Linked DNA regions of Mus musculus. The protein of the gene in region 5 interacts with the protein of the main gene of each other region in a pairwise test. Links are inferred from orthologs where the notes say so. Each region holds a gene or a part of one and is shown on either strand. Other genes may lie near its edges. The genes, in order: Ssc5d, Abi2, Crct1, Oip5, Nup62, Hsf2 and Kansl1.

Region 1 (3,500 bases), about 40 Mb from region 5:
TAACAGATGTCAGAGCATCTGTCTTCCGCTTTCTGGCCCAGAACCATCTGACAGACCTTGAAATAAAGCAGGAATATGAGGGGCTAGCTTACCCTGCCTTGGCAGAGCTTAGCAGTTGACTAGCCCACATCTGTTTGTCCTCTTTGGACAGTATTTTGTCTGCAGATGAATAGGGCAGTTTTTGCTTAGTGGTTACCTTGCCATTACTGGAGCAACTCCATGTGGAGGTGTTGATGCTCAATTTCTTCTTTGAACCATGAAGAGGGTACTGTCAGGAGCAGGCATGTCTCTAGTCAGAATTTCTAATAATAATGAAATGATTAAATGTTAACAGATACATTCAAGTTCTTAAAATCACGTTTCTCTCCGTGCATGCATGTGTGCACACATGCCACAGTACACATAGTGGGAGAACTCTTTTTCTGCCATGTAGATGTCCCACAGGTCAGACTTCTGGTGTCAGGCTTGAGGGCAGGCGCCTTCACCCACTGAGCCATCTCGCCAGCCCCCTTTCAATGTATTTTGGGTGTATCCCTAGGAGTGGGATTTCTATATCATATGGTAATTCTACATTAGCTTTCTGAGGAGCCAGCCAGCTCTGCTTGGCTCTGTGTCCAGTGCAGGAGAGATCTCGATCAGTGCCTGCTACCTGAGCTGAAGGGTTATGAGGAGAAGCAGAGCTGAGGGAGCTGATGGGCATTTAGAAAGGAAGGCAGAAGGCAGGTAGATGAAGGCTCAGAGTGCTAGCTGGGCTCTTTGACCCTGACTCTTGCTTCTTCTTCTTCTTCTTCTTTTTTTTTTTTTCCTATTCCAGGGTCCCCCCAGTTGCGCCTGGTGGCTGGACCCAGCAGGTGCTCTGGCCGGCTGGAGGTATGGCATGACGGACGCTGGGGGACAGTATGTGATGACAGCTGGGACATGAGAGACTCAGCTGTGGTCTGCCGGGAGCTGGGCTGTGGGAGGCCTCGGCAACCAGACCCCGCAGCAGGCCGCTTTGGCTGGGGTGCAGGCCCCATCTGGCTGGATGACGTAGGTTGTATGGGGACGGAGGCTTCACTGTCAGAATGCCCTGCTGCTTCCTGGGGGAAACACAATTGCGCCCACAATGAGGATGTCGGGGTTACCTGCACTGGTGAGGATGCACTAGCCACCCACTGGCTCTAGGAGGGCTTCTAAGTGGAAGCAGTGGAGGCTAAAGGTGGTGTTAACTTGACTGAGTACTGCAAGCTCCAGCTCTGTAGTGGGTATTTAGCTCATATAACCTCATTCAAATTGCCTATGTGTAGCCAAAGTGAGGGCTAATTCACATGAACTCTGGCAGTGCATCCCCCCATTTATAGGGGTTGCTTTCCAGCTCCACAGCTAGATACTGAGCTAGGAGCTGGCTGCTCAGAACAGAATGAACATAGTACAGGTCTTTGAGGAGCTCACGCCTCATGGAGAGCAAGGGGAACACAGACAAGCTCTTGCAAACCAGCAGTGTTTGGGAGGTCTCTGAAACCGCACTGACATTCCTTCTGTTGCTAAAGGACTCCCAGAAATGAGAGAGGTGGGGGGTGGTGGGGGGTGGGGGGGGTTGTATTTCAATATACTGAAGATGCAGATTAAGTTCAGCCAAGGGAAAGCAAACACATGTGGAATGGAGTTTAGGTGTGAAGTCCTGGTGTGTGTGGGAGGGGTATAAACGGTGCTGGATTAGCCCAGCAACATGTGTGTGACAACATGAGAGAAGAGCCAGATGTGCTAGTCTTGATGTCTATGGGGATTGATTGTTTGTTTGTTTGCTTATTGGTAGGGGCTTGATTGACCACGTTCAGGGCTGTTCAGAAATCACATTGTCAGTGTGGACTTAACATGGTGCAAACTGCCTCCCCTAAACATATAAAGAGTTTCTTACCAGGCAAGAACATTCCAAGGGCTTAGAGGTCATCTTCCTAGAGCCAGGGCAAAGCCCCCAAGCTTGTCTTGGGCATGATTCGTCCTTGACTGCCTAGGTGGCCTAACCAGAGAGACAGAGTGTGGATATTGGTGACTCAAAGGATAGAGTGAGTCATCAGGATAGTGCCTCTGTCTCCTCTGGGAGCCACCGGAGGACGGGGAGCAGGGGACTGGCTTGTAGGCTTCATGCCACTCTTGAGGGTACTGAATATGAAAGAAAAGGCAGTGGTGATAGAGCAAGCCTGTGGTACCAGCACTTGGAAGGCTGAGGCAGGAGGATTCTTACGAATTTAAGGCTATCCTGAGCTATAGAGTCCTTGTCATGGGAAAACAATCAGGGGCTAAGTGGTTTAAAGTGCTGGCTGATTTTGAAGAGGACCCAGGTTTGAGTCCCAGCACCCACATGGCAGCTCTCTAACTCTACTTGGTGGGTAGGGAATCTGATGCCCTCTTCTGGCCACTGCAGGCACTGAACCCACATAGAGCACAGACATTCATGAAGGGGAAATACATCAAATAGAAGTAAATCTTTAGTGTGTGTGTGTGTGTGTGTGTGTGTGTGTGTGTGTGTGTGTGTGTGTGTGTAGGCATGGTGGGGCAGACCTATAATCCTAGTTACTTGAGATGGTGTAAGAGGATCACAAGTTCAAGGCCTGCCTGGACAGCTTTGCTCCCGTCTCAGAGTAAAAACATAAGCAGCTGATACATTGCTAAGAGATGAAGCCCTTAAGGCAGCAGTTTTCAGCTCATGGGTTGTGACCCCTTTAGGGGTTGAAGGAGCCTTTCACAGAGGTCACTTAAGTCCTGGAATAATCAGCTAGTTATATAATGATTCATAACAGTAGTAATATTACAGTTATGAAGTAACAACAAAAAATACTTTTATGGTTGGGGTTTACCAAAACTAGAGGAGCTGCATTAAAAGGTGGAAGTGTTAGGAAGGTTGAGAACCACTGTCTTAGGGTGTGTGCCTAGGAGTGGAGTAGCTATCCTGCATTTCCCTATTCCTTGACTTTAAAAAAAATTGACTTTATTATTTTTAACCATGTACATGCATTTGTGTGTATGGCACTCTTCCCTGCTGGGCTGTCCCTCCAGCCCCTAGCCCCAGCTTTTTGTGGAATCTGCACGCTAGTTTCCCAGAGTGGCTACACCACTAGACACTCCCACTAAGCGTGAAGGAGGACTCTGTTTCCTATTGGCTGTCATTTGTTTCCTTGATGATAGTTTTTCTGACTGGGATGAGATGGGATCTCAAAGTAGCTTTAACTGTTGTACCAGGCTCTTAATGACAGTTTTAATCCACCGGTAACGCAGATGACCTCTGATGGATCGCATGACAAAAACCCAAGGTTATGAAGAGGGGAGAGAGGCAGGTAGGGGTGAGAGAGATAATTAGGGAACAATGCACTGTAGACATGCTCGCAATGCTCAGGGGGCAAGCACACTTAGTATAGATTGCCTTTATTTAGTTTTTATTTTATTTTATTTTATTTTATTTTTTGTTTTTTTAGATTTATTTATTATATGTAAGTACACTGTAGCTGTCTTCAGACACTCCA
Region 2 (4,300 bases), on a different chromosome or scaffold from region 5:
TGGTGGTGCCTTTAATCCCAGCACTTGGAGGACAGCCTGGTCTACAAAGTGAGTTCCAGGACAGCCCAGGCTACACAGAGAAACCCTGTCTCAAAAAAAAAAAAAAAAAAAAAAAGAATAAGTATAAGTATAAATAACACACCAACTTTGATACTCTGTAGGCTAGAATTATAAATTTTAAGACAATGTGATCTCTTTCACCTCTCCACTTTATCAATTCATGTACTTTCCCTTTATGTGGCAATTATAATCTCAAATTATGGTAACATTCATCTTTCAAAAACCTTTTTCTTATTAGCTGGCTGCAATTGCAATCTAATCACTTTTCCACTCCCCAATTTCTCTTCTGACAGATAAGACTTTCCCATACTATGTTACACAAGGGAACACAATTAGCACTTTGGGTCTTTTAGGTTTTGCCTCTCCAAGCAGCTGTGACGCCCTGAAAATAAGCATCACCTTTCTACCCACAATTCCCTACAAAGTATAAATTAACTATACTTAGCTCGTCGCACAGTATCCAATAGGAATTAGTTCTAGGACACACTCCCACCCCACCCCAATCCCCACTCCAACCCCATCCTTGGATACTGAAGTCCTTTACATAAAATGGCATAAAATTTACATTCAATCTATCACACATCCTCCCCTAGAGTTCAAATCTGTACATTATTTATACTATATAATAAAATGTACATGGCACGTTAAGTAGTTGTTACACTGTTTGGGAATGACAAGAAGAAGGAAGACTATTTCCTCCTCCCACAAGAAGGGCTGATGGTACATGGTATTGCTATTTAATTTGCTCACAGATCGGTCTCTTGAACTATATTATAAACCCCAGAAGAGTTCAGGATAAGCAATAAAAATCTTTGTTTTGTTTTGATTAAGATGTATTTTATGTATATGAGTACACTGTAGCTGTCTTCAGACACACCAGAAGAGGGCATCAGATCCCATTACAGATGGTTGTGAGCCACCATGTGGTTGCTGGAAACTTAACTCAGGACCTCTGGAAGAGCAGTCAGTGCTCTAAACCATTGAGCCATCTCTCCAGCCTGCAGTAAAACCTTTGAATGCTTCCTACATAGCTCTGTATTTGTAAAGTATCTGACAGACATTTGTGGGGAATTTTGATCAATCTTTGACCAAAGACACACACACTCTTCCTACTGAACACACACTTTCCACCACTTCTTTTTAGGGGAGAAGATTCAATTATGTCTGATTCATTCTCAATACAAATGTTTACAACATAATAGTAGAGTTCAGTGTGTGTATAACCAAATAAAATCTAAGCACATTGTCTTTGACTAACAATGTGGTCCTCAAAAAACTTAAGATCCTATAAATTGCAGCATCTGGGTTTTTTTGTTTTGGTTTTTTGGGGTTTTTTTTTTTTTTCCAATTCATACTCAGATTTGAGAATGTTTTCAATACAACTGCTGTTAAGGATATCTGCAGGGACGGGAGTAGGGACAAGAACATTAAAATACAGCTAACAGTTTAAGCATCACGCTTCCATTCCATTTTATCCAAAGAATTTAAACGGGAGTAAAAAAAATGTAGACACAACCTGTAATTCAGTATAAGCCCTACGGAAAACAAGAGATACTGGATTTGCATACCATGAGTTAATTTTTAAAGTGTTGCTTCACAAAATTTTTACATTTATCCCATGACCAGCTGGTTCTCATCTCACCAATGCCCCGCCCCACACACACTTCTCACCTTCCTACACACACATACACTGAAGTCCCTGGGCCAAACCAATCATCATGGGAAAAAAACTAAACCATGTGGTTCGTTTCCCTAATTCTTTGTGAAAATAGTCATAGTTCTTTTTTCCCCAAAGGAAAATTACCTATTCTAACGAGACCTGAGAAGGAAAGGCAGCTCATTATCAGTTTCCCATTCTCCACAGGGAGGAGAAAAAAAAAATGGTATTAACTTGCAATAAGAGACAGCCGTTCCACCATGCCCCTTTTACATTTTAAAAATGTTTAAACTTAAGGGTTAAGAATTTTTGTTTTGTCTTCAGGGTACATTCGCAGGAATGGAGAAGTGAGGCATTTCACTTTGCAGAAAAAGGACCCCTTAATAAAAAGGGGGTCCCTCGGAATTTGGGCAGGGGGTAACCTATCCCTCTGTCACACAAGCCTGCCATCGAGCAAGATCCCGTTAGACAGAAAACGCCACTCGCCACCTCCCCCGCCATCCGGAACACTGACAGGAGAGGACTGCGGGGGCGACGGGGCAGAGGCGAGGGGGCGGGACGCCACGCACCGCACGGCACCGCACCGGTCACTCGCACGGGGCTGCTGGGGCCTGGTGGCGACCCTCGCTCCCTGCAGCCGCCGCCCTCGCCCTGTCCCTACCCCGGCGCGGCTCCCTGGACCGAGCACCGCGCGGCCTCCCCCGCTCGCCATCGCCCCGCGCGCCCCTCACAGCCCGCGTCCTGCCGCGCCGAGCCGCGCGAGGGGCCGCGTCGCATCGCACCTGGATGTAGTTATTCTCGCAGTAGTCGGCCACCCGCTCCAGATTCGTGTAGCTGTCGAAGAGAGCCCGGCGGCCCCCCGGGATTTCCTCTTCCAGCAGCATCTGCAGCTCCGCCATCTTCACATCCTTCTCTTCCTCCTCCTCCTCCTCCTACTCCTCCTCATACAGCCCGCAGAGGCAGCGGCCGCGACGCCCGGGAGAGGAGGAGCAGCGGCGGACGCGGCGGGAATCGGGAGGAGCGAGCGGCTACCCCCCCACACACACCCTACGGCGCGCGACGAGGGAGGGGGCGGAGGGGAATGGAGGCGGGGCGCGAGCCGACGGGCCGCGAGGACGGTCACCGCGGCGACGGGCGCGCGCACGCGCGCTCCCCTCCACCCGCCCCCAGCGCCCGAAAAAGATTCCCACCCGCGCCGCCCCTCCCCCACTTCCGGCGTCTCCTAGCGACGGGAGGGCGGGGGCCGGGATGCGCGCGGGAGCGGGGCTCTGGGTTAACCCTTCGGCCCCGCGCGGCCTTCCTGGGTCTGGGAGTCCTCAGCAGCCTTTGTTAGCCGGGCGGGAATGCACCTCTGCTCCCTGCTGCTTCACGCCGCCGCCCCCCATCTTCACCTCTGCACTTCACCCGGGGCCGGAACCCTGCGGAGGTCATCTGCCTGAGGAAGCTCGCCTAGGGAGAGGACACAGTGTCTTCACAAGCTCTGTGAAAGATAACACCTCATCCGAACAGGCAGAGCCACTGAACTTCCAGGCAGCTCTAAATACCACCTTGAACCTCATCGGCTTCTTTACAAATTGCAGTTACCTAGTCCCAAACCTATTCGTTCGTTCATTCATTCATTCATTCATTCACTCCCTTCCGTCCCCTGTCCTGTCCTCTCTTTCTTCTTGGCATGGTCTCCTGTATAGACCGGGCTGACTGGAATTACAGCCACATGCTGTGGTTGCCCAGCCTGGGCCTCCTCCTCACTTCACTTTTTTTAAAATTTCGATGGTGGTTTTGCTGGTACTATTTTATTTATTCACATGGTTGTAGCATGAATAAGATTAAACGAACAATGACAAACGTGCGTTTTTTTCAGATTAAGTACTACAAATTCAAGGACGTTCATCCTGGTCTTGTTATCCAGATATCTAATCTTTTTTCATAAATATGATTGGCCCACACCGTGAAACTTGAAAAAAATAAATAAAACTGACACCTTCTGTGATATCAAGACCACAATCTTTGTTAGTTCTGTGGAAACCCAAAGGGCACCCACCATCTTAGAGGGGTTTAGAGTTTAGGATTTGTGGTTTCAACTTTTATTGCTCTTGCTGTCACTTGGCCTCCTGTGATCAAATTTCAGATGATGAGGGAACGATTATACATTCCTAGAAAAAAATCAAATGCACTCGCTCACATATTTGTGGAGTAAACCCTGTGTTGTTACGTTGGCTTTATGATAAATACATTACCAATATGCGTGAGCTTTTGCCGCAGAGCCTAAAACAGTATTTTTAAATGATGATGTGGTCCACCTGGATCTATTGTTCAGCACTTTAAACACCTGTCTTAGTGTGAATGTTCTAAGTGTGAGAAGCTTGTTAAAAACAAAAGGGAGAGCTGGGGTTTGTAGCTGAGTTTAACTATGTGTGGAAAAAGAAGAGAAGCCTAAAGTGTGTGGAGGGGGATAGTTATGTATAGACACATGCACTTGTTTCAGGAAATGAGGTACAAACAGGTGAAGAAAACAAACATCAGATCAGACTCTTATACAAACCAGTAAATCAAAAAACTGTGTTGATGGGTCTGGAGAGATGG
Region 3 (3,176 bases), on a different chromosome or scaffold from region 5:
AAGGATAGGGAAGGGGGGGGGGAGAAGTAGAAAAGAAGGGAGGAAAAGAAAAGAGGAACGAAGAGAAAACATTCAACAGAACTGAATTCAAATTCCTAAACTTGCCATTTCAAACCAGACTCCCTCGGTTGTCTGGGCCTGGGGACTGGGCAAGGCTTGCTCTAGGAGGAACTCCGAGTTTCCAAATCACTTCGAGTAGACCAAGCTAAGCACACCAATTAACAAAATGATCTCCGGAATCTTGCAGTCATCTCCATCTTGCAGGCATAGAAGTGACTCTGAGCTTAACGTTAGTTTCCCTTCTGTAAAATGGACGCAGCAGCAGCCACCACAGTGAGTCATTACACAAAGTAGATGAGACTGCCTACCCCAAATCCTGAGAACTCGCAGAGAGTTAATGTGTTTGTTCTCCTTCAGGCATGAGCCTTTGAGGGGTAGGTAGTATAAAATAAGAAAACTGAAGGCACGGATGGAGGAATAAATAGGAAAAGAAGCGTTCATAGGAGGTAGAAGCTTTATTATTATGTCTCCAGGCGACAATCAAATCAGGAGGCCTGTTTTGAACACTGCTGTGCACAACCTCCTGCCCATAGCGTGATCTGAAGTCCCACCCCTGACTTGTATCCCCTGGGAGGAAAATCAACGTTAGAGGACAGGTCTAAGAACAGGGTGAAGTTTCTGAACATCAAAGTGCAGTTAGCTTAAGGGAAACCAAACTCCTAGGCCGGTCCTTCCTGTTACTACTATGGAGGACTGGGTGAGAGCAGCAAAGACGCTGTGCGATGCCAGCTGTTCCGGAGAAGCTCTGTAGGCTTTCAGCAGCCACCGGAGCAGCAGCCTGAACTCTGATTGTTGCAGGAGCGTTGAGACCTTTGGCTTCCTCCGCAGCAGCAGCCGCAGCCGCCAGAGCGCTGTCGGCGGCGTCTCCTGGGAAAGCAGCAGCAGCCGGTGGAACTGGAGCCGCAGCAGCCAGAGTCACCACCGCAGCCGCCCCCGCAGCCCCTGCAGCAGCCTCCGCCACAGCAAGAGGAGGAGGAGGACGCGGGGGCAGGAGTCGGGGCGGGGCAGGGGGCGGAACTCTGGGAAGACCCTTTGGAAAAGCCTTTGGCGCCCTGTTGAGACATCTCGGCGTTTGTCAAGATGAATCTGAAAGAAAGACAATCTTTTTTAAAACCCCGCCTTTTCTTCCCTATAGTGGAACACAGAACTTTAAGTATTTGCCTTAGAGAAAAGTCTGTCTGGCTTTGGGACAAGAGGAATAAAAGAAAGAAAGAAAAAGAAGGGAAACAAAGAAACAAACTCAAACAGGAGCTTCCAGTGGTGGAGGCACAAAGCAGGAAACAGAATTTGAAAAGGATCAGTGCAGTCTCCCTGACTGACATTAGGACCATCCAAGAGCTCCATGATGGAAAATAAAGAGCATACGGCTGCAATTTATCTATATGACTCAATCAAAAATCTCTTGGCTTCAGCCTTTTCCTAACTGTACTTTGACCACGCAGCTCTTTCAAGTGGTAATCTCAGTTAATATCGTATAAGCATCACATCGGTCAGAAAACACACAAGTATTACCTGTGTCCCTCTGTCTTGGGTATAGAGAATTCGAAAACACAAAAGCGTGCTCTGCACCTTCTTTCTTGCCTGTCCTTCACATTATAAGGAAAAGGCAGAGAATAGGAATAACTTAACCAGGGAACCTAAAGACCCGGGTTACTCAAAGCTCTTTACAGTCTGGAAAACCTTTCAAAGGTCAGCGCCATGCCAAGCCTTTGCATCTTCATAGGCAACACAAAAGGCTGGCTCACTGGAAGCCAGATTCCAACAGCTACATTCTGGCTGCATCCTACTTCCTCCTTTCTGTCTTCCATTCTCCCCAGCTTCCTCCCCCAGACACCCCGCTTAGATACTTACTAGACCTTGGCTCCACAGGAAGACTCACTCAGTTCTCCAACTGGAACTTGACACCTGCTAGGCAGAAGACTGAACAGTGTATGGCCAGAGAAGCTTTTATAAGATTCCAACAAGTCCAGGTCCTTGGGAGGAGCCCATTTCTCAACAGACATGCTCAGCTGACACTTACATCCCAGAAGCATTCATCACTCAGATAGCACTGTAGGTGGTGCACGTGGACAACCAAGTCACTTCACAGAGGTGCCAGGATTGCTGTGGTGTGTTTACTTTTCAAACCGGATACTGTTCATAGCTGGGAGGGCTGTATGTGCTTAGAGAAGGCCTGGGGGGGGGGGGTCAAATGAGGAGAGGTCCGGGGTTCTCTCTTAAACACTGTATACACACACACAGCAGGAGGGGAGGAGAACACCTGCACTGTTCTACTTTCTCACACTTATTCATGTATAGCTATCTCCTTATCATTTATTGTCTTATTTGCATCTCTATGGCCCTTGGTTCTTGTCTTTCATAGCAGGCTGCAGGCTATGTGATGAACCCTCTGGCTTTTATCCAGATGCTTCTAGAGAGCACTGAAGGAAGATGATGGTGGGGATGGAAATCACAACGGTGGTTTCTTCCTGTCACCATTAACAGGAAGAATAGCCCAGGCAAGGTTAAGGGACCAATAAGACCAAAAGAAGTCACTTGACCATATTCCCATTATGTAACCCTGATGGATCGCAGACAAAAATGGTTGAGGAGTATAGGCCTATTGGAAAATAGTAAGCTGGTTAGCCTATGGAGCTCCTGTTTCTGATATCATCTCCTTAAGGATAGATTGTCCCTAGAACTACTGACAAATAGGAAAAAGACAAAATAAAACAAAACAAAATGAAAAGGATAAAATAAAAGAGCAAAGAAGAAAAAGGAGGAAAATAAAAGGGGGAACGGCCTGAAAGTTCCCATAGTAATTGTTGCGTTTCGATTAGCTGATTTATAAAACTGGAGGAAACTTTGGAGGTCAACTGCCTCTGATTCAATCATTGGAACTACCTGGTCACACCAACCATGAGTATGAGACATAAGAGAATCTAAGATTAAGAATTCAGGGATTAAGAGTGAGATAGGTTTTGGGGTGCATTGCTGGGTGTGGCATGAGGAAACAGACAAGGAAAGACAAGTCATAGAAGATACCCATTTCATTTACCATGGCTTTAGAGCCTGATTAACAGGTTGCTTACTGAACCAGAGCACCTGGCAAGAAGAGGTAAGACATTCCAAGAAGA
Region 4 (3,237 bases), on a different chromosome or scaffold from region 5:
AGATGGTTCAGCAGGTTAAGTACACTTACTGCTATTTCAGAGAACTAGGGTTCAGTTTCCAACACCCTAACTACCTATAATTCCAGTTCCAGGGGATCTGACAGCCTCTGCAGGCCCAACAGCAGTGTGGTGCACATCTTTAATCTCAAAATCTAGGAGGCAAAGGTAGGTGGATCTCTATTCAAGATCAGCTTGGTCCACATAACATGTTTTAAAATGGAGATTACACAGTGAGACCCTGTCTTAAAACAGTAGCAAGGGATGGAGAGATGGCTTAGCAGTTAACAGCACTGACTGTTCTTCCAAAGGTCCTGAGTGCAATTCCCAGCAACCACATGGTGGCTCACAACCATCTGTAATGGGATTCGATGCCCTCTTCTGGTATGTCTGAAGACAGTTGCAGTATACTAATGTAAATAAAGTAAGTAAATTAAAAAAAAAAAAACCAGCAAAAGATACAAATTCTTTTTTTTTTTTTAAGATTGATTTATTTATTATATGTAAGTACACTGTAGCTGTTTCCAGATACTCTAGAAGAGGGCATCAGATTTCCTTAGGGATGGTTGTGAGCCACCATGTGGTTGCTGGGACCCAAACTCGGGACCTTCGGAAGAGCAGTTGGTGCTCCCAACCACTGAGCCATCTCGCTGGCCCCTGAATTCTTTATTGTACAATGTATTCTATTTATTAACTGTTACTTATTACATACATATATATATATATGTACATATATATATATATACATACATACATTTGCTGTTGCTGCTGTTTTGTTCAGACAGGGTTTCTCTGTGTAGACTTGTCTGTCCTAGAACTCACTCTGTAGATCAGGCTGGTCATGAACTGATCTATCTGCCCACTTCTGCCTCCAGAGTGTTGGGATTAAAGGCATGCACCACCAGCATCCAATGTACACATCTATTTTACATAAGCAAAGATGATTTCTCTGTGACATTCTTTAATTCTAGCAGAGAAGCAGAGGCATGTGGATCTCTGTAAGTTTAAGGCTACCCTGGTCTATATAGAAAGTTCCAGGACGGCCAAAGCTATATAGAAAGACCCTATCTCAAAACAAAGGAACAAGTATTTATCAGTTTTCATAAAACTGGCATGTCAGAGTACAATCACTATTACCTCCATCGCTTTATCCTGGCCAACTTCATTTTTTCAACAGTGGACACAAGGGACACTGCATGCTAATTAATTATTAGTAGTGAAATACATTTTCAGAAATAGGCATTATGGAGTAAATGTACTAAAATAAATTTAAAGTAATAGAGTCACATGTTACAGGATCTTTGGTGATGCTGTTAACCCCAAGATGTGTTGTTTCCTAAAAAACAAACAAACAAACAAACAAAAACTAAAAAAACTAAACTTTATAGTTGTGGTGTAGCTCAGCCCTTACCATGCATACATATGCGTACACACACCTTTAATCCCTCTGGCTGGAGCACAGCATACAGATACGCCCTTACTTAGTATACATCTTTAATCCCAAATAATGAAGGTAAAGTTAGTTTATAGAAGGAAGCACCCATGTTTGAAAGTGATGTCTGATTGAGCAGCAGACAAACTGACAAATCAGAGAAAGACTTGACAGAATAGAATATGCCCAACTAATGAGAGAGAGAGGAAAGGAAGCTACTGAAGGGGCAGTGCAGAGAGAGAAAAGAAAAGATGTAGTTTTACCAGGAGAGTTTTACAGAGACAGACTGAAGAAAGAAAAGCTAAACACAGGTAAAGACAGAAGGAGCCAGAAAATGAGAACATATTGGCAAAGTTAGTACGAGGTCAAGCAGAGTAATTCAGAAGCGAGAGAAGCCAGACTGAATAGTCAGCATGGTGAGATGTTTGAGCCAAAAAGCTGACTAGAGTTCAGAAAGAGCTAGAAAGGGTGAGTTTATGAGTTTATTCAGCAGTAGGTCTCAGAGGCTAAAAACATTCTAGATCTCGGTAAGATTGTACAGAGTCTAGAAGCTTCCAGGATTAAGCCTTAGTTAGCAGATGGAGGCACCAAGCCTTGGAGAAGACAGTTACATCAGGCAAATAAGGTATTAGCCACAGCTTATTATGAAAAAGAAAAACACTCCCCAAAGCAGGAATGGGCTGATGAGCTGAGGAAAGGCATAGGCTCAAAGGCATATTCTCAAACAATTGTTTCTGGGAGGAGTACATGTGAGACAGGGTCTTATGAAATTTAGGGTGGCCTCAAATTCATAACACAGCTAAGGATTGCCTTAAACATGTGACCTTCCTTCTTGTATTTCAAGTGCTGAGATCACAGTTATGTGTCACCAGTCCTCAGTTCTTAGTAATATTTAAAAAAATAAAAGACCAAGCCGGGCAGTGGTGGTGCATGTCTTTAATCCCAGCACTTGGGAGGCAGAGGCAGGTGGATTTCTGAGTCAGGTGGATTTCTGAGTTCCAGCCAGCCTGGTCCACATAGTGAGTTCCAGGACAGCCAGGGCTATACAGAGAAACCCTGTCTCAAAAAACAAAAAACCAAAAAAAAAAAAAAAAGCCTATAGTAAAGGAAAGGATGGATATAGCCTAGTTCTAAAACAACATCCCATGCCGCCTTCTGGCCTCCACGGGCAACGGCACACATGTTACAGACAGACAGACACACACAGAGACAGAGAAAGGAAAGAGACCTTAAGAAAAAAAGAAGAAATGACCAAAGCACCCCAGTTGTTGAAGAAAATTCTGTACTCTACCTTGCTTGTTGGTTTTCTTGCTTAAACTGATGAGGAGACTTTCCCTTCAGAAGCCCCGTCAGTGAGTTTAGACGAGTATGCATTAGCATTATCTTCTCTTTCAGCTGGGAGAGACATAGATTGGAGACATCTTATACTCACCCCTTGATTTGCTGCTTATATTGTTACTAGACTTAAAATAAAAATAAGTCTAGCTGAGCAGTGGTGGCTCACGCCTTTAATCCCAGCACTTGGGAGGCAGAGGCAGGCGGATTTCTGAGTTCCAGGCCAGCCTGGTCCACAAAGTGAGTTCCAGGACAGCCAGGGCTACACAGGGAAACCCTGTCTCAAAAAACCAAAAATAAATAAATAAATAAATAAATCTACGAACAAAACAAAACACACTTAAAAATTGCCTATAGTTCGGGAGGCAGAGGTAGGCAGATTTCTGAGTTCGAGGCCAGCCTGGTCTACAAAGTGAGTTCCAGGACAGCCAGGGCTACACAGAGAAACCCTGTCTCAAACAAACAAACAAACA
Region 5 (4,144 bases):
TCTACTTAGAGGGGCTGACTTCTCAACTATGTCTTTCATCACTGTCCACTAAGCTTTGGTCTCCCACTTCTGTCTCCTGATGCACCCATGAGCTTAGGGATCCCTTGCTCGGAACCCTGCAGACCTAGAACAGTGTTGGGCACACTGCAGGCCCTCAGTACTGATCTTGTGAAGGAATAAATTCTTCCTTTTCTGTCCACCCCCACCCCCAGCTCAACCCACCTCTCTTCTTAACCTGTTCTTACCTGCCAGGGGCTCTCCCCCCCCTGGAAGCCCGCCCTCCAGGGCACCCCCAAGGACCTCATAGGGGCCCAGGGGGGCAGGGGCCAGGGGGAGTTTCCCATAGTCTACGAGCCAGCCCAGCCCGCTAGCTGGGAGCAGGGCCCTGTCCAGCTCCAGTCCCAGGGTCGCCAGGAGTGACATGGCTGTGACACAGGCACAGGGCAGCGACGGCAATGGAGGCTGCACCAACAATTGGGAGGCAGCGTGGAAGATTGTTCAGCTGGGTGAAGACAGGCACCAAGGCGAAGGTGGAGGACCTGTGAGGACAAGGGGACGTGGGTGGGATTGAGTCAAAGCGGCTTGACCCACAGGCTACACAGTTTCCTTCTTTCCGAAAATTTCAGCGCTCCACACATTCCCAGGGACATTATTGGAAACTCCCCTGCCCCATCTCCTCCCTCAACACAGAAACCTAGTGTTTTCCCAGGGGAATTACCTCTAGTCCCTCCTACCCACCTCATCTTATTCCTCTTCATAAAAATTTCAATCCCAAGGGAATTTCCTTCTAGCCGTGCCCCTTCCGCATCATTAGACTATACCCCCTTTAATCCACAGGGGTTCCCAGAATAATTCTGCATGCCTGGGCCCTTCATCAGTGTCACACACACAGATCCCGCTCTTCCCTTAAAAATTTTGGTGACTTCTAAAGATTCTACGGGAAGCTCCGCCCACCCTTCTGTCTGTCACAGTCAGTTCCCGTCCCCCACTAGCAAGTCCCTAGAGGCCCCGCCCCTGTAGTGCTAGTGCTAACTCTTTCTTAAAGGTGTTCCTAAAGCCTTTCCTGTCAGTTTAAGCCAGTCCCCGCCCCAGCAGGTGTCTGATTGGAGGGAAGTTGGGCCTGAGTCGGAGCCTCAAGCAAAACCCCACCCTTCCTCGCTGCTGGCTCGACTAGCGACGAGGCGCAAGCTCAGTCCCAGGACCCGATCCATTGTTACGCCACTACCCTCCTGGGGGACCAGTGCGCGTGTTTAGCCAATGACCGGCCGCCCGCCGTAGTTCAGGCCGGGGGTGGAGGGGTGGGGGGGTGGGGGAATAAGACAATGCGCATGCGCAACAGGTTGTGGGGTTGTCTCCTTGGAGGAAAAGGGGCAGAGGGTCTGTGAATTAGCGCGCAGGCGCAACGGCGCGCGAGCCGACCTTAAAAGCCCCCAAATTCTCCGGAAGCACGCCCTCCTCCTCCCCGCCCCTCGCAACTCGAGCCTAGTGCGCTTGCTCAGCGGATGCGCCGGCCGCCAGCTTCCCTCTTCTGCGCCTGCGCGACCGTGGTTCCTCACTTCGTCTCCCCCGCCCCCACCACGAGGCTGACCCGTGAAGCCCCGCGAGCTCTGAAAGGGCGGGAAAGGCAGTTGGCGAGGGAGGGGCGAGCGGTTACTCACTCCATGGCGGCGAAAAGGCGAGGAGGCAACGGCGGCGGCGGCCTCGGCTGAAGAGACGGTGTGAGCGGAGAGTGAAGGCGCGGTGAGCGCGGAGACGGGGGCGGGGGACACGACGGGGTCGCGGCTACAGAGCCATTGCGCGGGCGGAGGCGGCGTGGCGGGAGCGTTAAGGGAGACTGTGCTGAGAGGGTTGAAAATGAGGCGGCCCCGGGGCCTGGGGACAAATATACCGGGGGCGGCGCAGCGCGGGCTTGCCTGGATCCCTCCGCGCCCCGCCCTCGCGCGGCCCCGACGGGGCGGTGGCGACCCCGGGCCCGCCATGTCGCCCTGACCCTCCACTCTCTGCTTCAGGCTGGGGGCCCGGGCTCGGTCTCCTGAATCGGTCAGATCCGATGTGTCTTTCACACCCGAAACCAGCTCGTCTCGTTCTCTCTCCCTGCTTCACGAATTTGCCACCCGAGACCTCGTGGGTTAAGCCCATCGCCGAATGGCGCAAGCTAGCTTAGGCTTCATAGAGGAGTTCCAGGCAGCAACCGCGAGATAACGCTTCCCAAGTACTTGTAGAGCGCTGTATACGCGCACAGATATATCAGCTATGGAAAGTAGGCCACGAAGTCCTAACCACGAGACTCTTCAACATATTTTTGTTTGTTTTGTTTTAACATTTATTGTGGTGGTCAGAGGAGAGCTAGCAGGAGTTGGTTCTCTGACCATGTGAGTCCCAGGGACGGAACTCGGGTCAAACTATTTGGCAGCCTTTACCCACTGCTCAGTCATTGTATTTTCTTTTAGAAAAAAACCCTGACTTCACCTCTTTTACTCTCCCTACCCCAGATTCTTAGCCATATGATCGTTCTGTGTGTCCCACCTCCAAGGTTTCTGTTTCCAGCCATCCCTGCCGACCTCTAAGGTTTTGCCCTTGCTCTGACTTTCTTGCAGTCCTTGCTCTCTTGCTGACCCCACTAGATAATTATTTCTTGATCCTGTCCAAAATAGGACATTTATATTCCATTTAGTAAAAGAGTCCCTCTTGTCCTTCACCGGGGATGATGCGTGAACCCTGTTTTCTACCCCATGTTCATGTACATGGCTGGCATTCCATGTGAAAGTCAGTCAGTGTGTCATATTTGTAGCAGCTGAGAGACTGAATGGTTGGAGATAGAGCTCAAGAATGCTCGTCTGTTTTTAACACCAGAACCTTAGTCTCTGTCCAAGCACCACATGGATTGGGCTTGACTTGCCTGTATTCTCAGGATTTGGGAGATGGGAGAAAAGAAATCATGAGTTCAGGGTCATACTGACTGGCCTCAATGTGTTTTAAAAAGAAAAAGTCCAGAGGCCAGGCTTGATATCTCACCTACTTAGGAGGCTAAGACAGGAGTATTGAAAGTCAAGGTCAGGGCTGGAGCTGCTTTGAGATGGCTCTGGTGGTGATCTCTAAACTCAACCCTCCTGAGTTCCATCCTCAGGACCCACTTGGTAGAAGGACAAAAGCAACTCTAGACGGTTGTCCTCTGACCTCCACCACCTGTAGTGACAGGTCTACATACTGAGTAAGGGGAGGAAAAAAGCTCAAGGCTTGCCTTGACTAGAAAGTGAGTTCTTGGCTGTCTAGAGAACTTAACAAAGATCCTGATTTTAAAAAAATATGTAATGGGCTGGGGTTGGAGGTTGGTGGCAGAGTGTTGGCCAGAATACTGCTTTCCAGACTCTGGTGTCCATCCCTGGTACTGTAAAAGATTCAGAGCAGGTGGGGAATACTGATTTTGAAAGTTACAAGTCCTTGAGATAATTCCCCTTGGAATGGGCACTCTTTTTTTTTTTTTAGATTTTATTTATGTAAGTACACAGGTTCTCTTCAGACACACCAGAAGAGGGCATCAGATTCCATTGCAGATGGTTGTGAGCCACCATGTGGTTGCTCTGGAAAAGCAGTCAGTGCTCTGTAACACTGAGCCATCAGAGTGTGAATTCTTATCTTCTGCCAGTGTTTGAGCACAGGCGTGATTTGATGTGTTTAGACTCCAGCCCTCCCTTGCCAGCTATGGGCTTTGTTAAGTCCATGTGGAGTCTGCTACGAATACAGAAATGGGATGGACCCAGAGCTTCATGAACTGCATGCTAAATGGACATTCTACCACCTGAGCTGCATCCCTGGGCCCCACAGGTGCTGGTTTTTATTTGAAACATTGTGCCATGTTGCTGTGCCGGTGGTGCTCCTTTCCTTGAGTTTGGTATTTTAAAGTAAACTTTTGGAATAATCGAAAGGTTTCAAAGACAGTGCAGAGTGGGGGTACCAGCCCATAGTCTTCCCCATGGTACTTCTTTTTTCTTTCCTGAGGTCCTACCCAGATGCTTCCCCCGCCCTCAGATCCACCTTAACTCAAGAGCTGGTTTTCACATTTAGCTGCCATGCCCTCCCCAGCATGTGCACAGCCGTCACTTTATGGGAGTTGTGATCATCCCTGGAGGCCTGCCACCCTGAG
Region 6 (4,300 bases), on a different chromosome or scaffold from region 5:
TCTGGGACTGAAAATATTCCCAAACTGAGGTAAAGCAACCCATCATCGCATTGGAATGTGCTTGGAAACTTCTAGCTAACCCACTCTGGGAATCTGGCTACAGAGTTGGTTCTGATTAGCTTTGTGTAACTGGTTGAATAGAATTTGTACCAACCTGAATCAGACCCTTTGAAGCTTCCTCTTTGGGTTGCTGTGAGGATTAAATAGGATAAGACATGCAAAGCCCTTGTCACATAAGACCTCATCAAATATTAGTCTTTTTTTTTAAAATCACAGTTACCCCATCATATATCCCCATCATATATCCAAACAGTGCTGTATGACTGTGTTCAGTATATGCTTACTGAAAAAGTTGTCTGTCTGTCTATCTATCTATCTATCTATCTATCTATCTATCTATCTATCTATATTTCTTGCCATTAGCCCAGGATACCTGGAGCTCACTATTTAACCCAGGTTGACCTCCACTGCTCCACAGTTCTACCTCAGCCTCCAGAGTGCTTGACTTACAGATTCCAGACACTATGATCAGCTATTAAGTAACAAACAAAACAAAACAACAACAAAAAAAGTTTTTTAAAAAATCTTTTTTTCAGAGATCCACGTTATTATAGCTACTCTTCACGGGTAGAAAGTCTTATTGTCAATGAAGAAATGGGAAATTTCGCTCAAGAAGCTGTTCCGAATCACATTTTGCCTGAGGAAACCCCTGTGAGGTACATGCAGAACAATCATTTTGACTCAGATACTCTAAAACTAGACTCGTTGCTTTTGAACTGGGCTTATGACAGGCACCTGATGCTTGCTGAGTTGAGAAAAGCATATAAGATGCTCTTAACAGATGCTGGCTCCTAATAGTACACACACACACACACACACACACACACACACACACACACAATAGCAAGTACTTCACAAATAGGGAACTATTATTCATGCTTCAGGTTTTGATAAAACTGTCCTTAAATGAGCTATTTTTCTCCCCATGAAAAATGTATAGAAAAGCTCATTGTCTTTAAGATAGTTTCAACCAGGGGCCTAGCACATCTGCTCACAAGCAGCTCACTGCCCCATGTGATGTATTCCTTCCTTTAGATTGGAGCAAATTACTCTTCGCCGGTCAAACTTATGAGTCAACTGCCCTTGGGCTTCTCTGCACTCTGCCAGCCACAGCCGGTGCACCCAAACCCTTTCCATGCGAATCCACTAAACAAGGTTTCCCTGGACCCAATATCATTCCCTAAGAGAGTACCCTGCCTAAAAGGTAACAGAGAAGGCTGAACCACTCTTGGGCCCACCCCTCCTCGCGGCAGCAGCCAATCGCTTTGCTCTGTAGTGCATCCGAAGCCTTGGATTGGACTCGCTGAGACCGGGCGCGGGAGTAGAGCGCAGGGGTGGAGCGCGAAGCCTTGTCCATCACGTGCGGCCGCGGGGTCTCTCCGCCTTCACCGCGCGCCCCGCGGCGCCGAGGGGGCGGAGCCCGAGATCCGCCGCGCCTGCGTGGTGTGCGTTCCCCGGAGCAGCAGCTGCTGCCACCGCCGCTGCTGCCGCCGCCGCCGCCGCCGCCGCCGCTGCGACCTCCGCGTTCGGTAGTAGAATTTGGAATCCCTGCACCGGGCTAACAATGAAGCAGAGTTCCAACGTGCCGGCTTTCCTCAGCAAGCTGTGGACGCTTGTGGAGGAAACCCACACCAACGAGTTCATCACCTGGAGTCAGGTAGGGTCGGGGACGCGGTGGCCTCGGGTCCCCCTTGTCGAACCGGCTCGGCTCGGCTCGGCTCGTTTCGGCTCGGCTCGGCTGGGCTGGGTTGGGCTGGGCTGGGCTGGGCTCGGCTTCTCCCGCGGCCTGCGGCGGCGCGCGGCCTCCCCACCTCGCGCGGACCCCCGGCTTTGTGTGCGCGGCGAGCCGGGCCCCGCAGGCTCCGTTCTCCTCCGGCCGCGCGCCGTGGGGGAGGGGCGCCCTGGTAACGGTCCCGCCGGCCCGGGGAGCTCGGAACCGGCCCCGGCGGCGCGTTCTGCACACTCATCCTCAGTCGTCTGCTCGCCGCGGGGCGCGGAGGTCGCGGAGCCCCGGGAGAGCGGGCGAGCGGGCTAGTGAGCGAGCACAGGTCTTATCTAAAGAAATCACCTCCGCGGGGATTGCTTGCCCTGGCGTCTGGGATCTTTTATGATGATAATGGGAAAATGTGCAGACTCCGACTGCTCTTGCCTTGAGCTTTTAAATTTTATTTATGTATTTTATTTATGTAGTTTTAACATAGAAATTTCCCAGTTATTGTTTTGAGACTGGGTCGTTTCTTTAAAATAATTCAAGTAAAAGTGCCTGTAGACTATGCTTAGTAACTTAGCGGCTTGGAGTTAAAAACCGAGTCGTTAAATTTCACAGAATAGTTGCCGGCATAGTGGTTTGTGGTTGCCTTGATCAGTTTGATCCAGATCCTCCTTATAAATAAAGATGACCTTAATCAAGCCCGGTATCTTGCCTGGTCTAAGTTATGTGTTAGATTGATGCGTTGCCTAGGTGACCCAAGACCCCCTCCCCCCAGTTCCACACAAAGATTCTTTGCAGAGTGATTCTTTACATCACTTGTGCCTTTCCTTTGCTAGACTCGCAATGCTTGGATTGTTCAAATCTCTTCATGAAGGGGATCGGCTCCTCTTACTGGAGTTGATGACTTATTCAGGGTATTTTCATGTTCACAGTTTTTGAGATGAGTAAGTGGGAAATACCTAGCTATATGTCAAATAAATGTTATCTCCTCCGTTTCATTTGTGCCCTTTTCTGTTGTTAAAACTAGTTTTCACCCTTGCCTGCTTTTAGGAGGTAACAGCAATAGAATATACCTGATATTTGGACAACTATGTCACTGAATTTTTGCTGAGTATTAGTGCCAAGTTTTAAAAATTTCTTTCTAGGATTTAATTTTCGTGTGTATTGTCACATAGGTGCCCCACCCCCAACCCCTGCTGGTTGTGTAGACTAAGCAATTGATTAATTTGATACATTGGTACAAAGAAGTGAAAATAAAGAAAGGCAGCTAACCAGCATGAACTTAAAATAAACAGACGGCTCATGCTTTTCATCAGGCAGAAGGATTAAAGGTTGACGAGACCGGATCAGTGCAGACCGCTCCTCAGCTGTCTTTTAACATTAGAAACTGGACTGAAATAATTTCTTTCCCCCAACCAAGCTGAGGTCATTGAACGTGAATTTGCAAAAGGCCATTTATTTGTATTGTCTATAAGTTCTACACAAATGTATTGGCAATTGGTTCTAATTAAACAGTATTGTATAAGTGACCTGATAACTTCAATTAGCCAAAACATTTTAATAACTTTCTTGCCTTTTTTGATCGGTAAGGACTGTGGAGAATTTAAACTAGTGCATACGTGTGAATTCTTAATTGTAAATGAAACAAGCTACTTAATGGCTTTTAATTACCGTATTAAGTCTCAGTTTATATTTTTAATTGCCCATTTCTAATACACCAATAGGACAGTCAACGTGTAATTAAACTCAGTGGGGTATTGGTTCTAGAGATACAGTTGGTGCTTTAATGTTTGTGTCACTGAAACTATTACATTTACAATGTAATGGGTTTGATTGGAATGGAGAAACAGGTGTTCTGAGATAGATATGAATGTGGCCCAAAACTTTTGTAAATGACAGAGTAATGTATTGTCAAAGGTTGGACACCCCAGATGGGATACTATTTGGAATGCCAGTACTGAAAGGTACAACTTTAAGCTAATGTTGATGGAAAGCCAAAATAAGTCTTTTTTGTTGTTGTTATCTTTTTTAAAAGATTTCATTTTTAACCATGGCCTTGTCTGTGTGTGCATATTGCATATTTGAATGAAGGCAGAAGAGGGAGCCAGACTTCCAAGTCTTGGACTTTGGACTGTTTTGAGCCTACCCACATGAGTGGTAGGAACCAAACTGGGGAACTCTCTGAGCAGTAAACTCTCTCTTAACTGCTAAGCCTTCCCTACATACAGCCTTGCTGTGCTCTTCTAAAAGTTTGTTTGTGTGCCTAGCTTCCTTTACATTTGTATTGAGTTGTAGAGGTGATTTTAGGATTTACAATTGGCTCAGTGGCTATTACTTTAAGGCCTTTTAAAAGCAGAAGCTCTTGAGGACTAAGCAAACTTTTATGCATCCCCTATCCTCTACAGTGATAGACAATCATATACTCCTTTAGTTTGAGGATAAAGATTTCTTTTGAAAGAAACCTTTTCACCTGTATTCTGGAAAGCTTGACTTAATGGTCCTACAGCTCTGTATAAGTTCACTTTTCCT
Region 7 (3,981 bases), on a different chromosome or scaffold from region 5:
CTTCTCATCTGCTGAGCTTGGTGATTTAGTTGTTGGAACAAGTTTTATGCTATTTGATTTTGGTGAGTCCTAATAATCTTTGGACATGGTTAGCTTTAAAGGGTGGTGGATTTGTACTGTGTAATGTGTCACTTTGCGTTATATTAAGTTTTCTAAGTCCAGAAAATGTTCTCTGATATTAAACCTTATTTGGGAGGAAGGAACCGATATCGTGCTGACAAACTAGAGTCAAGAGTAATTAGGTGCCACTACTTTTAAGTCAACGCTGGTAAGAACATGACAGGTTTGCTTTTGTTGTTCATTGTTAAACTTTTAGCGGGTCTGTGAACTTTAATTTGGTAGTAGCAGGAAACAAAAAAATTACTGTGTAATGAATGCGTTTTTGCCTATTTTGGCGGATCTGACAAATCAAGAAGCCTAAAACAACACGCGGGCTTAACGAAAACTACAGTTCCCAGCGGGCCCGGCGCTGGTGGGCCATCATTTCCCCTCTAGCTCCCAGCTGCCCCTGCCCGGGCTAGCCCCGAGTCGGTCCTAGCTCGCGCCTGCGCAATGGCGTCCGCTTATTTTTTGGTTTGGCGGCTGCAGAGCGTGGCGCTAGGGCTAGCAGCCAGCCGTGTGCTGCAGTGTACAGAGCAGGGTGTAGGACAAAGGGCGGGTGGCAGGGACCGCGTCACTGGTCAGGGAGCTTCCTGCCCGTCTCAGAGCACGGTTGGCCCTGGGGTAGTGTGGCCGCAGCAGCTTCTTCATTCACTGCACACACAGTTCTTCGCTCACGTCCTCTAGCTCTGCTGTGTCAGTCCGCCCTCCCCTCAAACCGGCGCGCAGCACCGCCAGCCACAGAGCCGAGGGAATGTGACGGCATCAGCGCCTCAGGTTAGCCTCACCTCGATCGAAGCGAGGGCCCCGCGTCGCTTGCCGCAGTGCCGCGTGTCGCTGCCGCACGTATCAGGCACCAGGCACCGGTTTCCGCAAACAGAGGCGCAGAAGCAGCGGCCGCGGCTAGGAGCCATGACTGAGGCGGCGGCGGCCGCGCCTCCTGGCAGCCCGCGGGGGCGGCGAGGCGGGCGCCCCCTGGCGGCGCGCCGGGGCGGAGCGGCCCGCCGCAGCCGCAGCCGGCGGAGGCGCTGCTGTCCCTCCTCCCCGTGTCCCCGGCACTCGCCCGCTCGCTTGCTCGCTCCATTCTCCCTCCGCTTCAGATTAAAGGGGGGGAGGGAAAAGGAGCTCGGCCGCCATTTTCCCAGTGCCGCCGCCGCCACCGCCACCGCTCGCTGAGCCGGCGGGAGAACCAAGCGCCGTAGCGAAGCCGACTCGTCTCGCCGCGGCGGCTTGGGGGGCGGCCGAAGTGCGCTCCCCGGCCGGGAAGAAGCTCCCGGGGTGGCGGCCGGGGTGCGGGCGCGGGCTGCAGACGGCGGCGCTTGTTTGTGCGGGGCGGGGGGGGCAGCTTTACCCTCTGCCCCCGCCCGCCCGGGGCTGCGGTCCCCGCCGTGCCCAGGCCGGGTCGGAACGGAGGAAGGCCGGAGAAAGGGCCCGAAAGAGAAGAAAAAGCAGCCGCTCCCCGCCGCCGCCGCCTTCCCCTCCCCCTCCGCCTCGCCCCCCCGCCCGGAAAGTCAGGGCGGCTCCGGGCGCCGGGGGGGAGGAGAGCGGCGGGCCGGGCCGGAGCAGCAGCCGCGCGCCCCCGCCCGCTGGTCCTCGGCGCCCAGGCCGGGGGGCTGTTTGCAAACTGCGCCCATTTTGTGGGGCCGAATCCGCCCGGGCTACGCTCCTCCATCACGTGGTAGGTGCTGCTGCTGCTCCTTTCCTCCTCCTCCCGCTGCCCTTTCTCCTTCTCCTCGCTCTCCCTGTGGTTCCCATTTCTCCCTCTCTTTGTTAGTTGTAACTAGAAAGGCTGGGCAGGGGAAGAAAAATCCCCGGAACTTTAAATGGCCTCTCCGGGCTTCCCCGCTGCGGGTCCGGGCTGGGAGTCGCCCCAAGGGCGGGGGTGTGCGGGGGCCCTTCCCCACCAGCTGCCGCCTCGTTCGCTGGGCTTTCCTTTGGCGTTCTATTTAAAAAGGCGGCCTGGAGAACCTGGTTTATTTCCGAAAAAAAAAAAAAAAAAAAGCAAAAACAAAAAGACCAAAAACAAACTCTTGCTCTCGCCTTGAACTTCTCTTGACTGCAAAAGGTCTTTCTTTGCTCAAACACATCTTGCATGTCTGTCTCACGGTTTGTATCACAACTCTGATTGTTAACATTTTTTGTTGCTTAAATATTGAGGTCATTTGCGTTTTCGGATCTAGTCTCAGGCAGCCCTTTTTTTCAACTAAAGAGGAAGAGGCATTTATTTGCTTTTAAGTGAGTTGGAATCTTACTGCTTTTGGGGGGGCCTGTTTTCGGACTGACGGCCTTTGATTCTCAGCAAATAGTTTATAATTGTTTTCCGTATTGTAAACAATCTTACTCCCATGTTTTACCTAGAAATCCTTTTGTTTTCCAATGTTGGAATCCCAATGTGGATTTTTAGAGAAACTCGTTACTTAACTATTGCTTATTGATTGCCTTAGGGGAAAAGGGGTGACATGATGGCGCCACTTTAAATTGCTCTTTCCTCCGCCTGTTTTTTCCTCCTTTATCCTGGAGGTCACTGGAGCATTTTCCGTGACCTATTAATAAAACCGCACTTGAGGGTGTTAGCTGTACAACTCTTAGGGGTTAGAATTTGGTACCTTAAAGATTGAGAAACCCGAATCCTGCAGTCCCCAAAGTTAAGAGAAATCTCGCTAGTCCTCCAACCTAGCTTTCCTCCCCTCCATTCACAATCCTGGTGTTGCCATATCCTTCGTCACGTGGCTAGCAATCATTGTGGGGTTTTGTTTGTTTGTTTGGGGGGGTGTATGTTAATATTTTAAGCTGTAGCCAAGTAAGTGTCCCTCTGCCCATTAGAGAGATCACAATGCTCTAGGGTTTTTTTTTTTTAATACATTCGGAGAACATTTTAAAATAAACGATAAAATTACATAATCCTTGCCTTGCATAATCATGATATAGTTACAGAACTTCTTCTCAAAAGTACTTTCAATCAAGTAGGAAAATCGTTATATTAAAATGATTTCTGTTTCTTAGACTGGTCTGCAGTTTATATTTCCCACCCCACCTCCCTTTTTTGTTTTTGTTTTTAAGGTCATTTGAAGTACCAGTATTTACAAAAGCATAAAGTGGGCGTGTTTCCCTTTCCTCTCTTCTATGGGCTGTACTTGGTTTCTTGTCTTATTCTCCTACCAATTTAGAAATTTTCAATTAACTGCAGCTGTTGTCAGTTGAGACTTTTTTTTTTTTTTCTTCTGACAGTGGATACTTTTGATGTGTTTCTTTGTTGCATTTTTGATAGAGAAGTTTTTAATTCTAGTTTTCCAATCTTCTTACTTGGTTGTTATAACTTCTTGTAAATATTAACTATAAAATGCTAAAGTACATTTTTTTCTTTTTCTAGGTAAGTTACTAGCTTCAAAAAGTAAATATAAAATGTAATTCTTGAGTATGATTGATCTGTTTTCTCCTGATGTATGTTATCAATGGCTTGGGCCATTTTCTTTGCTAACAGTTACATCATGTCATGTGATAGGTGCAGTGTGATGTGTTGCTCTAAAAATATTGCGAGGTAAAAATGCTCATCCTTTGGAAATTTAAACAATGTATTGTAACTATTTGGTAACGACCCTTAGTCATGGAATCCTGAATTAGATTTCCACTAGGTTTAGCCAACCAAGTGTACAGTTCTTTTGACCTTTAGAATATTTGATTTGATTTGTTAGTGACCTCAGAACTTGAGGTGGTTTGACATTATTTTTGAAGTGTGATCTACTTGGAACCATTAACAATCACATAGATTCTTAAAATCTTTATTCTGATGAAGGTAGTTATTTAATTAAGTGTATGTGATGATTTGTTTCTGTACACAAAAGTCATCAGTTCTATGCAGATTTTGAGATAAATTGGAGGTTT

The links.
Region 1: the proteins of Nup62 (region 5) and Ssc5d interact in binary tests that used the Homo sapiens proteins (3 or more experiments, as listed by UniProt). The two-hybrid records come from large-scale screens. The link is inferred for Mus musculus from reciprocal best matches to the Homo sapiens genes NUP62 and SSC5D.
Region 2: the proteins of Nup62 (region 5) and Abi2 interact in binary tests that used the Homo sapiens proteins (3 or more experiments, as listed by UniProt). The link is inferred for Mus musculus from reciprocal best matches to the Homo sapiens genes NUP62 and ABI2.
Region 3: the proteins of Nup62 (region 5) and Crct1 interact in binary tests that used the Homo sapiens proteins (3 or more experiments, as listed by UniProt). The two-hybrid records come from large-scale screens. The link is inferred for Mus musculus from reciprocal best matches to the Homo sapiens genes NUP62 and CRCT1.
Region 4: the proteins of Nup62 (region 5) and Oip5 interact in binary tests that used the Homo sapiens proteins (3 or more experiments, as listed by UniProt). The two-hybrid records come from large-scale screens. The link is inferred for Mus musculus from reciprocal best matches to the Homo sapiens genes NUP62 and OIP5.
Region 6: the proteins of Nup62 (region 5) and Hsf2 interact in binary tests that used the Homo sapiens proteins (3 or more experiments, as listed by UniProt). The link is inferred for Mus musculus from reciprocal best matches to the Homo sapiens genes NUP62 and HSF2.
Region 7: the proteins of Nup62 (region 5) and Kansl1 interact in binary tests that used the Homo sapiens proteins (3 or more experiments, as listed by UniProt). The two-hybrid records come from large-scale screens. The link is inferred for Mus musculus from reciprocal best matches to the Homo sapiens genes NUP62 and KANSL1.

What each region holds. Positions count from the first base shown.
Region 1 is NC_000073.6:4,932,321-4,935,820, forward strand, and holds part of Ssc5d (soluble scavenger receptor cysteine-rich domain-containing protein SSC5D precursor), read left to right. Parts: intron 1-814; coding exon 815-1,132; intron 1,133-3,500.
Region 2 is NC_000067.6:60,408,119-60,412,418, reverse strand, and holds the start of Abi2 (abl interactor 2), read right to left. Parts: upstream 2,801-4,300; 5' UTR 2,617-2,800; coding exon 2,500-2,616; intron 1-2,499. UniProt on the Homo sapiens protein: Regulator of actin cytoskeleton dynamics underlying cell motility and adhesion. Functions as a component of the WAVE complex, which activates actin nucleating machinery Arp2/3 to drive lamellipodia formation.
Region 3 is NC_000069.6:93,013,705-93,016,880, forward strand, and holds Crct1 (cysteine-rich C-terminal protein 1), read right to left. Parts: upstream 1,983-3,176; 5' UTR 1,912-1,982; intron 1,147-1,911; 5' UTR 1,125-1,146; coding exon 816-1,124; 3' UTR 501-815; downstream 1-500.
Region 4 is NC_000068.7:119,609,032-119,612,268, forward strand, and holds the end of Oip5 (protein Mis18-beta), read right to left. Parts: intron 2,825-3,237; coding exon 2,721-2,824; intron 1,334-2,720; coding exon 1,288-1,333; 3' UTR 501-1,287; downstream 1-500. UniProt on the Homo sapiens protein: Required for recruitment of CENPA to centromeres and normal chromosome segregation during mitosis.
Region 5 is NC_000073.6:44,814,744-44,818,887, forward strand, and holds the start of Nup62 (nuclear pore glycoprotein p62), read left to right. Parts: upstream 1-1,344; 5' UTR 1,345-1,740; exon of another isoform or gene 1,741-1,915; intron 1,916-4,144. Other genes in the region: Atf5 (cyclic AMP-dependent transcription factor ATF-5), read right to left, coding at 246-423. UniProt on the Homo sapiens protein: Essential component of the nuclear pore complex. The N-terminal is probably involved in nucleocytoplasmic transport.
Region 6 is NC_000076.6:57,484,885-57,489,184, forward strand, and holds the start of Hsf2 (heat shock factor protein 2), read left to right. Parts: upstream 1-1,500; 5' UTR 1,501-1,624; coding exon 1,625-1,717; intron 1,718-1,843; exon of another isoform or gene 1,844-4,300. UniProt on the Homo sapiens protein: DNA-binding protein that specifically binds heat shock promoter elements (HSE) and activates transcription. In higher eukaryotes, HSF is unable to bind to the HSE unless the cells are heat shocked.
Region 7 is NC_000077.6:104,439,521-104,443,501, reverse strand, and holds the start of Kansl1 (KAT8 regulatory NSL complex subunit 1), read left to right. Parts: upstream 1-1,181; 5' UTR 1,182-1,777; intron 1,778-3,981. UniProt on the Homo sapiens protein: Non-catalytic component of the NSL histone acetyltransferase complex, a multiprotein complex that mediates histone H4 acetylation at 'Lys-5'- and 'Lys-8' (H4K5ac and H4K8ac) at transcription start sites and promotes transcription initiation.